3 linked regions of the Oryzias latipes genome follow. The protein of the gene in region 2 purifies or fractionates together with the protein of the main gene of each other region. This does not show direct contact. Links are inferred from orthologs where the notes say so. Each region holds a gene or a part of one and is shown on either strand. Other genes may lie near its edges. The genes, in order: dcaf1, cops8 and ddb2.

The links.
Region 1: the proteins of cops8 (region 2) and dcaf1 purify together in Homo sapiens (affinity purification with mass spectrometry; 4 studies listed by BioGRID and IntAct, counting the BioPlex papers as one, with this or other methods). This does not show direct contact. The link is inferred for Oryzias latipes from reciprocal best matches to the Homo sapiens genes COPS8 and DCAF1.
Region 3: the proteins of cops8 (region 2) and ddb2 purify together in Homo sapiens (affinity purification with mass spectrometry; 6 studies listed by BioGRID and IntAct, counting the BioPlex papers as one, with this or other methods). This does not show direct contact. The link is inferred for Oryzias latipes from reciprocal best matches to the Homo sapiens genes COPS8 and DDB2.

The regions. Positions count from the first base shown.
Region 1 is NC_019865.2:16,273,584-16,276,840, reverse strand, and holds part of dcaf1 (DDB1- and CUL4-associated factor 1), read left to right. Parts: intron 1-317; coding exon 318-400; intron 401-820; coding exon 821-905; intron 906-1,016; coding exon 1,017-1,250; intron 1,251-2,171; coding exon 2,172-2,265; intron 2,266-2,806; coding exon 2,807-2,911; intron 2,912-3,009; coding exon 3,010-3,083; intron 3,084-3,162; coding exon 3,163-3,257. UniProt on the Homo sapiens protein: Acts both as a substrate recognition component of E3 ubiquitin-protein ligase complexes and as an atypical serine/threonine-protein kinase, playing key roles in various processes such as cell cycle, telomerase regulation and histone modification.
Region 2 is NC_019879.2:1,339,957-1,343,712, reverse strand, and holds the start of cops8 (COP9 signalosome complex subunit 8), read right to left. Parts: upstream 2,452-3,756; 5' UTR 2,392-2,451; coding exon 2,320-2,391; intron 1,916-2,319; coding exon 1,845-1,915; intron 1,358-1,844; coding exon 1,309-1,357; intron 1,051-1,308; coding exon 918-1,050; intron 125-917; exon of another isoform or gene 1-124. UniProt on the Homo sapiens protein: Component of the COP9 signalosome complex (CSN), a complex involved in various cellular and developmental processes.
Region 3 is NC_019864.2:16,130,738-16,134,493, forward strand, and holds the start of ddb2 (DNA damage-binding protein 2), read right to left. Parts: upstream 2,807-3,756; 5' UTR 2,587-2,806; intron 2,496-2,586; 5' UTR 2,494-2,495; coding exon 2,358-2,493; intron 2,285-2,357; coding exon 2,172-2,284; intron 1,752-2,171; coding exon 1,560-1,751; intron 80-1,559; coding exon 1-79.

The sequences.
Region 1 (3,257 bases), on a different chromosome or scaffold from region 2:
CCTATTGCAGTTTATTGCAGGTTATTTATGGAACAGAAATGAGGGAACAATGTATAATAATTACTTCATAGTGCTTTTTAGGCAGAAATGCAAACAAATATCCATAAATAAGAATGTGCTTTTTAACAGGCAGCTTTTATCCACTAATAATATTTTGAACAAGAAAACATTTTTATATTGAATGATTTCAGGTTACCCTAATACATTGAAAATGCAGATTTTCCAAATATAAATAATGGACGTTTACTTTTAGGGAATTCAAAATGATTTTAAAATATTTACCTGTTTCCAATATTTTTATAATTGTTTCTTTTTAGGATGGTTCTCTCCTCTTGACATCAGCCTCTTGGAGTTATCCTTTGTCTGCACTGTGGGGAATGAAATCGGTGTTCATCATGAAGTGAGTGGTGTTTTCATCAACCTGACACACTAACCAGCTTTAAACCAGAATCAGAATCCGCTTTATTGGCCAAGTACAGTGCATATACAAGGAATTTGGCTTCTGTGTCTTGTGCTCCTGGCAAACCAAGCAAGAAGGTATATAAGAAAGTGTAAAGGGGTAAAGGCAAAAAAGGATAAATAATAAAAAAAGTAATATGAATATACGGCTGTGGGATTCTCATTTGGTAGTACCAATATATTGACTTTGCTTAACAAAACTCATAGAAAATGTCAGGGCCGCTGCTGCAATCTGTGAATAAAACCCAGGAATACTACAGTTTCTTCATCCAGTAAAAGCTTAGAATTCTCTGCTTCACAAGTTTTTAATGTTTTAAAAAGGCTGACAGGAATGTTGTTTGTGTGTGTGTTTTGTTTTTAGGCATTCCTTCCTTGGGGACCATTATGTGGAGTTCAGTAAGCTTTCCCAAGATCGTGTCATTGGAACAAAGGAACATGTAGCACGTGTATGTATAATTGAGCATTTCTTTCTTTTTATTAATTTCTAGAAGAATGTATACAATTGCAGACAATATTGCAGTGTAAAAAGGTGAACATTTCTTTCTTTTCTGTGCCAGATTTATGACATCCAGACCGGACAGGTCACTCTTACTCTCAACAACCCAGACCTGGCTAACAACTACAAGAAAAACTGCGCTACTTTTAACCCAACAGACGACCTGGTGCTGAACGACGGAGTGCTTTGGGATGTGCGCACAGCTCAGGCCATTCACAAGTTTGACAAGTTCAACATGAATATCAGCGGCGTGTTTCACCCCAATGGCTTGGAGGTCATCATAAACACTGAGATTGTATCCTTTACTTTGAAATATATTAAAATTTTCAGGCTTTGGAAAGATAAACGAGTAATAATTATCCATTTTAAACATGAAAGACTATGATATTGCATTTTTTACAAAATAAGTTTACACATAATACCCGTATTTTCCGGACTATAAGTCGCTGCGGAGTATAAGTCACATCAGCCCAAAAATGCATTATAAATTAGAAAAAAATAAAGATAAGTCGCACTGGAGTCGCATTTTGACGGAAAATTTATTTGACAAAATCTGAGACCAAGATACAATAACTTTCACAACCTCATATGACACAATCATAGCAGACTGTTTATCTCATAATTTCACAGTAATTCTTTCTCATACTTATTTATTTATTCCTTTCATGAAGCATCATTGGCTAACTAATACTCTGTTCTCATCCTGTATTTGTAGAAACAGTTGTCAATTCTATTGCATTTCTGAATCTATGAAATCATTGGAAAATAGATTATGTCCTTAGCCTTCAAGATCTTACTGTAAAAAAAGTTTGCTGATTCTCTGAGTCACTTAACATCCTCTTAACACTTAACATACCTCATACATCAAATTGAGCCAGGAACATCATCTCTGTTCCTCACAAATGAACATAACAGGAGGGTTAACAATGTATTTATTTCAATTTATTTCTAATATAAGTCGCTGCGGAGTATAAGTCGCACCCCTTGCCAAACTGTGAAAAAAAGGGGCGACTTATAGCGGAAAATACGGTAGATGTTTTTTAGACAGCAAAAATGCACAGAAGTCCTAAATTGAGGCGGTAAATGAAACTGTTTTTCTTTCACTTGAACCAGAATCGGCTGTAACATTACTGGTAAATGTGTGGCTTGCAAATTAAAATGTCAACAAAGGCTGGGAAAAAAAAAGAATATTATGCCACTTAACTGCCAGTTTTAGTGGGATCTGCGCACCTTCCACCTCCTCCACACCGTTCCTGCTCTGGACCAGTGCAGAATAGTTTTCAACAACAGCGGGACTGTCATCTATGGAGGCAAGTATACAAATCACCAGGGGATCGATTCAACACGTCCGTCCCACAAACTGTCAGGCCTGTTTACAGGAGAAGAGATCTAAATAACTCCAGTTTTGGAAAATCTGACATCACAACACAAAGAAAAAGACACTTGATATTAGCATTTCTAATTCATTTGGTTTTTGATTTGCCTTATGCAATGACAATTAAAAGTTATTCCAAAGTTGTTTTAAAATGTATAATTGCATGTATTTTGTAAAACAGATGGTCAATTTAAAATAATTTTCTTTTTAAATTAATGGTTACGGTAAATGTATTCTGCTGTTATTTGAAAAAGAAAGTTTGTCACTTCTATTTTTCAGTTGAATTTCTTTTAGAAATGCTTTAGAAAGTAAATTAAATTCAGCACGTCAGAAAACAAAAATGTGTCTTTTCAGTTGAATTTTCTGCCAATAATAATAGTAATAATAATATTAATAATAAATTATTTAGCAGATGGGGCAGAAAAGCTTCAGCTGCTTTGTTTTCTAACCTTGTCTGTCATTGTGTCTGTTTGTAGCTATGCTGCAAGCTGATGATGAAGATGAAATGATGGAAATGCAGATGAAAAGTCCATTTGGCTCATCGTTTAGGACCTTTAATGCTACAGACTACAAACCCATTGGTAAGATTTTCTAAAGAAGCTGATCATGATGTTTATGTGACTTTGATTTAAAAAGACTTGAATTTCTCAGGAAAGTGACACATCATTTGTTTTTGCAGCCACTATAGATGTGAAGAGGAACATATTTGACCTCTGCACAGATACAAAAGACTGCTATCTGGCTGTGATTGAGGTAAATTCTATATTTTGAAAGAATCTTTTTGGCTTGCCTAAGTTTCCAAAAATAAGCTATGTTATTGTCTTTTCAATAGAACCAAGACTCTGTCAACACTGACACTGTGTGTCGCCTCTATGAAGTCGGCCGGCAGCGACTTGCAGAAGAAGAGGAGGAGGATGAGGAAGATCA
Region 2 (3,756 bases):
TCCTGATAAACAGCAAGTCAACAGTTTGATTTTTCCAAATTCAACCTTTTCTCAGGGTTATTCATCAGTGGGTAAACATGGAAACACATTCATTCTCAGGGTTTTATATTTCAAGGGCTTATCACATAATAAAGGGCTTTGTATTCTTATACCTACTTTTAAGTATTACTTATATTTTATTATGTTTTTGGAAACAGAGCGAACTGACCAGTGAGCATTTTAAATGACAATGACTATAATTATTCTATTCTAACTTTAACAAAAAGTAAAATACACAGGATGTCAATCAAGGGCAACAATGTAAGACCATGTGAAGAACTACAGACACATCTTTCAAGTATTTTCTCTTGCAAATAATTAAATGTAGAAGACATAGTGTCCTAATACAGTAAAAACATGTAATGTGAATACTTTGGCACTGGATAAAGATCATGTTGGTGTGTGAGCCCCGTGTCCTCAGCAGATGTTACCCAAGAGTGTCATGACTGTCTGTTTTTCAGCATGAATGGCAGATCAACAGCAAGCACCATAAACACCCAGAGAAGCTATTCTTAAACTCTGGCACAAACATCACATGACAGCAACACCTCAGTCTTCAGCCCGTCAGAATAAAAGCCGTAAGAAAATCCATCCGTATCAAAAACTGAGCGTGTAAGAAAATAAGCAAATATTCCATAAAGTGGACATAAAGCATCACAATTGGCCCTTCAGCTGTCACAAAGTCCAACTGGGGTATTTCTTATCCAATGAAAATCCTGAAGTCACTTTAGCAAACCCACAAGAGGAGCTTCCTGTTCCACACCAACCCCAGAGCACAATGTATGAACAGTACTAACTTTGCCTTAATTAGTGGTTTGTAGAAGAAATGATCAGATCATCTTAAAGAACTTAAATCAAGTCCTGATTTTTGTAATTACCTCGAAGGGCCTCCATGACTGGGAGGATGTTTTCCGACCACTGGTGAGCTTCAATGGCTGAGTAGATCCCTGGAAAGTCTCTCTGCCAAATGTGCTGGCCTACGGTCCAGATCGCTGTGAGCTCGGGGTTCGCCTGAATGGATCACAGAAAGACAAGTCCATGTTCCCGCACCGTTTCATGAAGGCAGGGGCTCTAAAAACCCCTGTAGGTGGACTAACACCTGAATACGGTGCCGTTTTTAAGACAGACAAACATCAGGAGTGTCTACGACTGAAGCCAGTCAGACTATTAGCAGCATAGAAAGAGAACAGTGACATCAGTAGAAGAAGTGGAGAGCAACTGGTACTTTTCATGAAATAAAGGGGAAAAAAAGGCCTTGTGATTACTCACCGATTTGATTACTTGTGGAACTCGCTTCCATAGATACCTGGCATTGTTCCTGTTAGACGCAATTCAACAGAAAGACATAAAGAGGACATTTGAGATGAGACATGCAGCTGCAGGCAGCAAAAATGGGATTCAACCGAACACAAACAAAGCTGTACAAAATCTTAGTCTCTCTTTTTTTAAAGATAGACATGTTTTAAAGCCTTGTGGTGTGAAGAACCCTTCTGAGTGAACGCTAAAGGACTTCCCTGAACACTGGCTCTAGTTCGTCTTTCTCTTTTGTTGTCCGGTTTGAATGCAGTCAGTGCATTGCTATGCTTGAACACTTGTGAGTGTAATGATGCTGAACAACAACAACAAAAAAAGGATTAACCTCAAAGGAGGCTGGGAAAAAAAGACTTTTGAAAACCTGAAACATTCAGAAACTCTTAGAATTCTTTCTGTGGAAAATCTATTCAGAGGAAGGCCTCGTTTTTTCAAGACAAATCGATGCATCTTCCAGAGGCTCGCGGGAGCGCGCACGCGCGCGCTTCACCCACATGTCGTTGTGGAGCAGGTAGAGGGCCAGCAGCTGCGCGTACACCTGCGGGGTGGCGATGCCTCCTGGCGCCTAGCAACAGCAGAGCGGGGAGGGGCAACGGGGGAGACAGGAGAAGCGAGTTAGTCTGAGCATGCGCGGACGTTGATCTTTCCTTTCTAGTTTTGAATGTAGTAAAGCCAGAGGCTAACTGAAGACAGTTTTAACGACATTTCTACACCGGGATATCCCACAGATTGCGCTTAGAATCGACAGCAGAGCGGATCCCGCGTCTGCACACATCGCTGAGTCTTTCTGTTCGTTCTGCCAACGACGTTCCGTTAGCGACGGCTAGGAGCCGGAGCGTCCTGACAGTTACATCGGCGCTAGCTAGCATCATTAGCCTCGGCCGTGGCTAAAACAGCCGAGGCGTCGCGCTGCCGCAGACGCGTCAGCGGCCCACTTCCCCGCATCACCCGGAAGCGTCTGCTCCTCACCTCAAGCTCCTGCGCCTCGCATTGCTCCTGTAATTTATCAAAGCTTTCCTCCATAGTCACAGCTGTAGGCATGATGACGCCTAGCCGAAGCGCCGGAGCTTCTTCTGTTGTAGGGATTCAAAGTAGAGCTTCCGGGGGAGCGACACACACTGCCCCCTGCTGGACGGAGTTTAAATGTATGGCTTTCTTCCAAGAAGAAAGAAGACTGTCGTGTCATACTGCCACCATCTACAGGCGTAAAAAAATATTTTCTGTAACAACTACCCTGAACAGTTTCTCTTACAAAATCCAAGGAAACAATCCTTTCTCTTTCTGTGCTGCCAGTTTCCAAAATAACATGGAAAAAATTCAAACGAGGATTTTTTCTCATCTTGTTTCTCATAGTTGAGGTTTACCTACCTATCATGAAAATTACAGGCCTCTCATCTTTTTAGGTGGGAGAACTTGAACAATTGTTGGCTGACTAGATTCGACCTGAATTCTTGAACTATTTTAATAAGATTAAATTCAAATGATGCAAATGAACAGTTGAATGTACAGTTTTATTGCAGTAATATTTTCATTAAATAAATATGAACCAAATTGACTGTGAATTCCACATTTGAAGACTACAAATAAAATAAAAGGTCTGCCCGCAAAATAAAAGTTGATCAACAATACATTTGGGTTCCTATGAAATGTTAAGTTTTATTCACTGTTAAATGCTCAACGTGAACTTCTAGATTTAAACTGTTTGAACAGGAAAACTTAACACAAACTGTTTTCTCTTTCAGTACAAACCTCTGTACTTTTAACACACACACACACACAAACTGCCATTTTAGAAATGATTCACTACAGAAGACTGAATAAAGAACTTCCCTGCACTAATGGGATGCTGATACTGAGATCTCGATTGCAGCAGAAAGGTCAGATCTGGCTCAAAGACTGCCCCCCTAGTGACAGACCCTCAGTCCCGTCCTCACGCGGTTCTTATTTAAGTTCATAACAGAGAATGTCTTCTCTCACAAGCATGGAGCCAAACAAGCTCAGGCATTTTCACAGCGAATCTTTGCGTCTGTTTAGAGCGGCCTATATCCAGTTCCAAGAGAGCTGGTGGTAAAACTTGACCAGAGGGAGCCGGTGGCCACTAAACATGAGACGCCACATGAACGTGCAGATGCAGCAGGTCCATCAAAAACCATTGGACTGTTGAAGGCATTCAAACCAAAAATTTAAAACACAAAATAAGACTTTATGCAGATGATGTTTACTATTTACTCCTAATTCACAATCTTCCATCTGCCAAATCATCTCCCTAATTAATAGATTTTCCTCAGTTTCAGAATACTCCATAAACTGGTCTAAAAGCACAATTTTACCAATTAATTGCAATTATCTAAATCCGTCATCTATTAAAATACAAACAGGCAACATAAAGTACTTAGGTATAAATAT
Region 3 (3,756 bases), on a different chromosome or scaffold from region 2:
CCTCACCGGTTGCCACATACACTCTGGAGGAGTCTGTAGGGCAGAACTTCATCCCTCCAATGAAGTCTCCGGCTCCATTCTGGGCACAAAAGCAGGAAATGCAACGACATAAGACAACTGCTGAACTGAGACTTGAAACCGAGGGCTTGAGCAACTTCGATTCTGAGAAGCAACAACTCGTTTTCCCAACTATCCAACTACTCTGCGCTGAAGTCCATCAATCAGAGAGTGGAGGCACAGCTGGAAAACAAGTATAGAATGGCAGTTCTTGGGTACTAGAGTTGGGCAGCCATGTTTAGACAAAGAGGACTCATATGTGCTAGAGCAACTTCTTGGAATTGTCGCACTTGACTGTGGAAGCACTGCGTATCCCCTATAGCTGAGCTGTCCAGCTGAGTGGGATGTTACAGTTTTTCTCAGTCGCTTTAGTACAATTCTCAGATCAGAATGAAATTCCCAAAACTATTTGTTCAATCTTCACATCATGATGTCACTTGTGCACATCATATAAGCAGTTTCTCACTTCTATGAACAAGTTGCAATTGCTTTGGTACATTCATGCAAATGATTATGTACAATTCTCTGCTCTTTGCTACATTATCAATTGTTTATGTCATGTTGATCAAAATGTATTATATAGTTCACTGTGCAATAGTCTTACTCCTCAAAACACCTAGTCATTAGTTCATCGTATAAGTCATTAACTGCAAAATGGTTGACCAAGTTGTCATAATGTGACAAACATATTTCGCTGCATTGCAAGCGAAGATATTCGCTGTGATGTGGATGAGAATTTGTGGCCTAACATACAGGAACGACAAGACGTGTCGGAAAACCACACCAATTCCTACTGCACTGCCTGTACTGTTGTACAGAATATTGTCCTATCTTTTTTTTCCCTTTGTGTTACTGTTTGCAGTGGGTTTTTTCTATGTTGGTATGACATGGTCTGTCAACAAATTACAATATGAATAATAAAAGTGTAAATGTGAATCTTGTCCAGTCTCTTGCAATCAAACAAAAAAGGTGTAACTTACGTTTTACAATAATTGTCATCAAAACTTTAGCCATAGTTTACATCAGAACCTCCCTCTAAAGTACACAGTTATATTGACAACATGACTAAGTCATTTGACTGTCTTGTTCGTAGACAATGACACAAGGACTTGACATTCTGATGGCACTGACATGTTCAATGACATAAAGACTTAGTTTTCAGAGATGAACTAAAGATTTTGAGCAAGTTACAGGCTTTTGCAAGAAATCCATAGTGTTTTGCTGTTTGTACAAATTGTTTTGAGAAATGCACACACATATTTGCAAACTTTAATTCTGATCTGAGAATTGTACTAAAGCGACTGAGAAAAACTGTAAGTGGTTAAGCCTATCAATCTAATGAGAAGAATGAAAAATGCATTGTCAAGTCTATCTAAAACATATGGTTGTGCAGAGTTGTGTGACGTTTTGCAAGCACGAACACACAAAAAGCTGAAATCCTGAAAGAAAAAAAAATCTTATGCAACTTCTTTGGTTAAAACTGTGCTTTTTCAGGAGCTCACCCCTTGGATGAAGCTTTTCTTTGTGGGCTTTTCAAAGTCCCAGAGAAAGATGTCTCCACCTTTGGAGGCTGCTGCTAGTGTGGTGGGATGGGTGGGGTGCCACTCCAGACAGGTGATTCTGCGATCGAAGGGGCTGGTAGCACCATGGAAATGATAGGCGGAGAGAGAGCGGACAAAGGGCTCCTGAAGACACTGCAAGAGGCAACAGCAAAAAGAAAAAAAACCCAACAACATTCCATCATTTCAGATAGAATATTCAGAATCTGTTTTTAAACCACCAATTAAAAAGAATAAATACAAAAGTCTATAACTATTTTTTTTTTTATCATTTGTGACCAAACTGATTGTTACTATTGGGTAAAATCCATAAAATGCATTAGGGATTTTTTTCTGTTTAGTAAAATTCTTCTTCTCCAATCAAGTCTTCAGACAGAAGCCTAGAGAAGAGGGCGCCTTGTTCATCAACTGGTCTGCCGTCTCTGTTCACTTCAATGCATTGATTTGCATTTGGGTTCCAGATTACACTTGACAGACTAAATCTGTTGTTGGTGCATTTTTATTATTGTTATTTTTAAAGCAGACAGCCCCCTCTTTCTGTCCATACTGACTTACCTGTCTCATCTGAGAATGCAGACTTTGGCCTAGACTGTTCCTGTAAATGTAGTGCAGGATGCTGTTATGGCCATTTCTCCTCTGAGCTGTATGGGGCTTGACAGGTGGACGCTCTGCAGTGAAATTCATTCAAATCAGGATGATGACCTCAGAGTAAACTCATGCAGTCCCGTTAGTACTGCTCACCTGGCTCAGAGGTCTTCACTTCTATCTTTTCCTTTAATTTTTTGGAGAGTGATGCTCCAGAGTCTGCTTCAGTTCTTTTTTTCACTTGACTCTTTGGTCCATTTTCACCTGGTTTCGTGTTCTTCCTTCTTTTCATGTCTGTCAGAGTTCGACGATATGACACGAACAAAACCACTTCTGTGTACTTCTCTATCTTTCCTCTAGAAAACCCCGTAAATGTGCAGTTTACCTGTAATTGTGGAAGAGAACCGCCTTAATCTAAAGTCTATGTTTGCATAACACGGAAGCGCACGTGACTAATGGCAGCAGATGTTTTGTAACTTCAGCCCATGACAGCTGGTGCGCGATAGATGGCGCTGTTTATTTACAAATTCTCCCTTTTTTCAAGAAACTTTATTTAAAAACTTGATACAATACAACAGACTAAAGAAAACGCTACACACTGTGAAACTTGCACATCATCAGTCAACAGTACAATTAAAATGTTTTTGTGTGTGTGCATTTTTAACTGGACAATTTGATGTAAGATTTTAAGTTAAACCTATTTTAGTTAATTATCAATTCTGAATTTCTGAATGGTATATAGTTTTAGCATTTTCCAAATTAAAAATCACCCATTATTAAATGCAACAACAACAATAATAATAGTAATAATAATTGTTATTAGTATTATTAAGATAGATAGATAGATAGATAGATAGATAGATAGATAGATAGATAGATAGATAGATAGATAGATAGATAGATAGATAGATAGATAGATAGATAGATAGATAGATAGATAGATAGATAGATAGATAGATAGATAGATAGATAGATAGATAGATAGATAGATGGATAAACTACACTTGCATCAGGTGGAACTAAACAAACGTTTGATTTCATATATAGCATGCAATGGTGCATTCCCCTGTTTATTTGAAAACATTTTTTTCTGAAAGGCTCCGAGTTATGTCATATTAGCTCAACATGCCTAAAAAAGTAGTCAAATTTGAATAATTTAAAAACTTTAAGACAAGCAACCAACAAAGCTAATCTTTAAAAAAATTACACAAAGTGCAAAACATCATAATGCAGCATGTCCATAAACAGGAGAACAACTGCCATATGAAAATGTATTATGTCGTGTTTCAGCAACAGGCAAAAATAACATTCTTTATGTACATATCAGTAAATTAATTCACAAACCTACCCAAAATGCAACATAAGCATACTAGAATTACAGTCTTTTTTCATGGTAAACGTTCGCTCCTTCTAATATTTGATTAGTTTTCTTACTTTTATAAATTTACTTTTATTTTTTAAAAAAGTAATTGACTACATCGACTGCTGCGTGTTTGCAAAAATATTTTTGGAATTTGGTCAACTCGGAAGTGACGCAACACACTCGTGTTCCTTG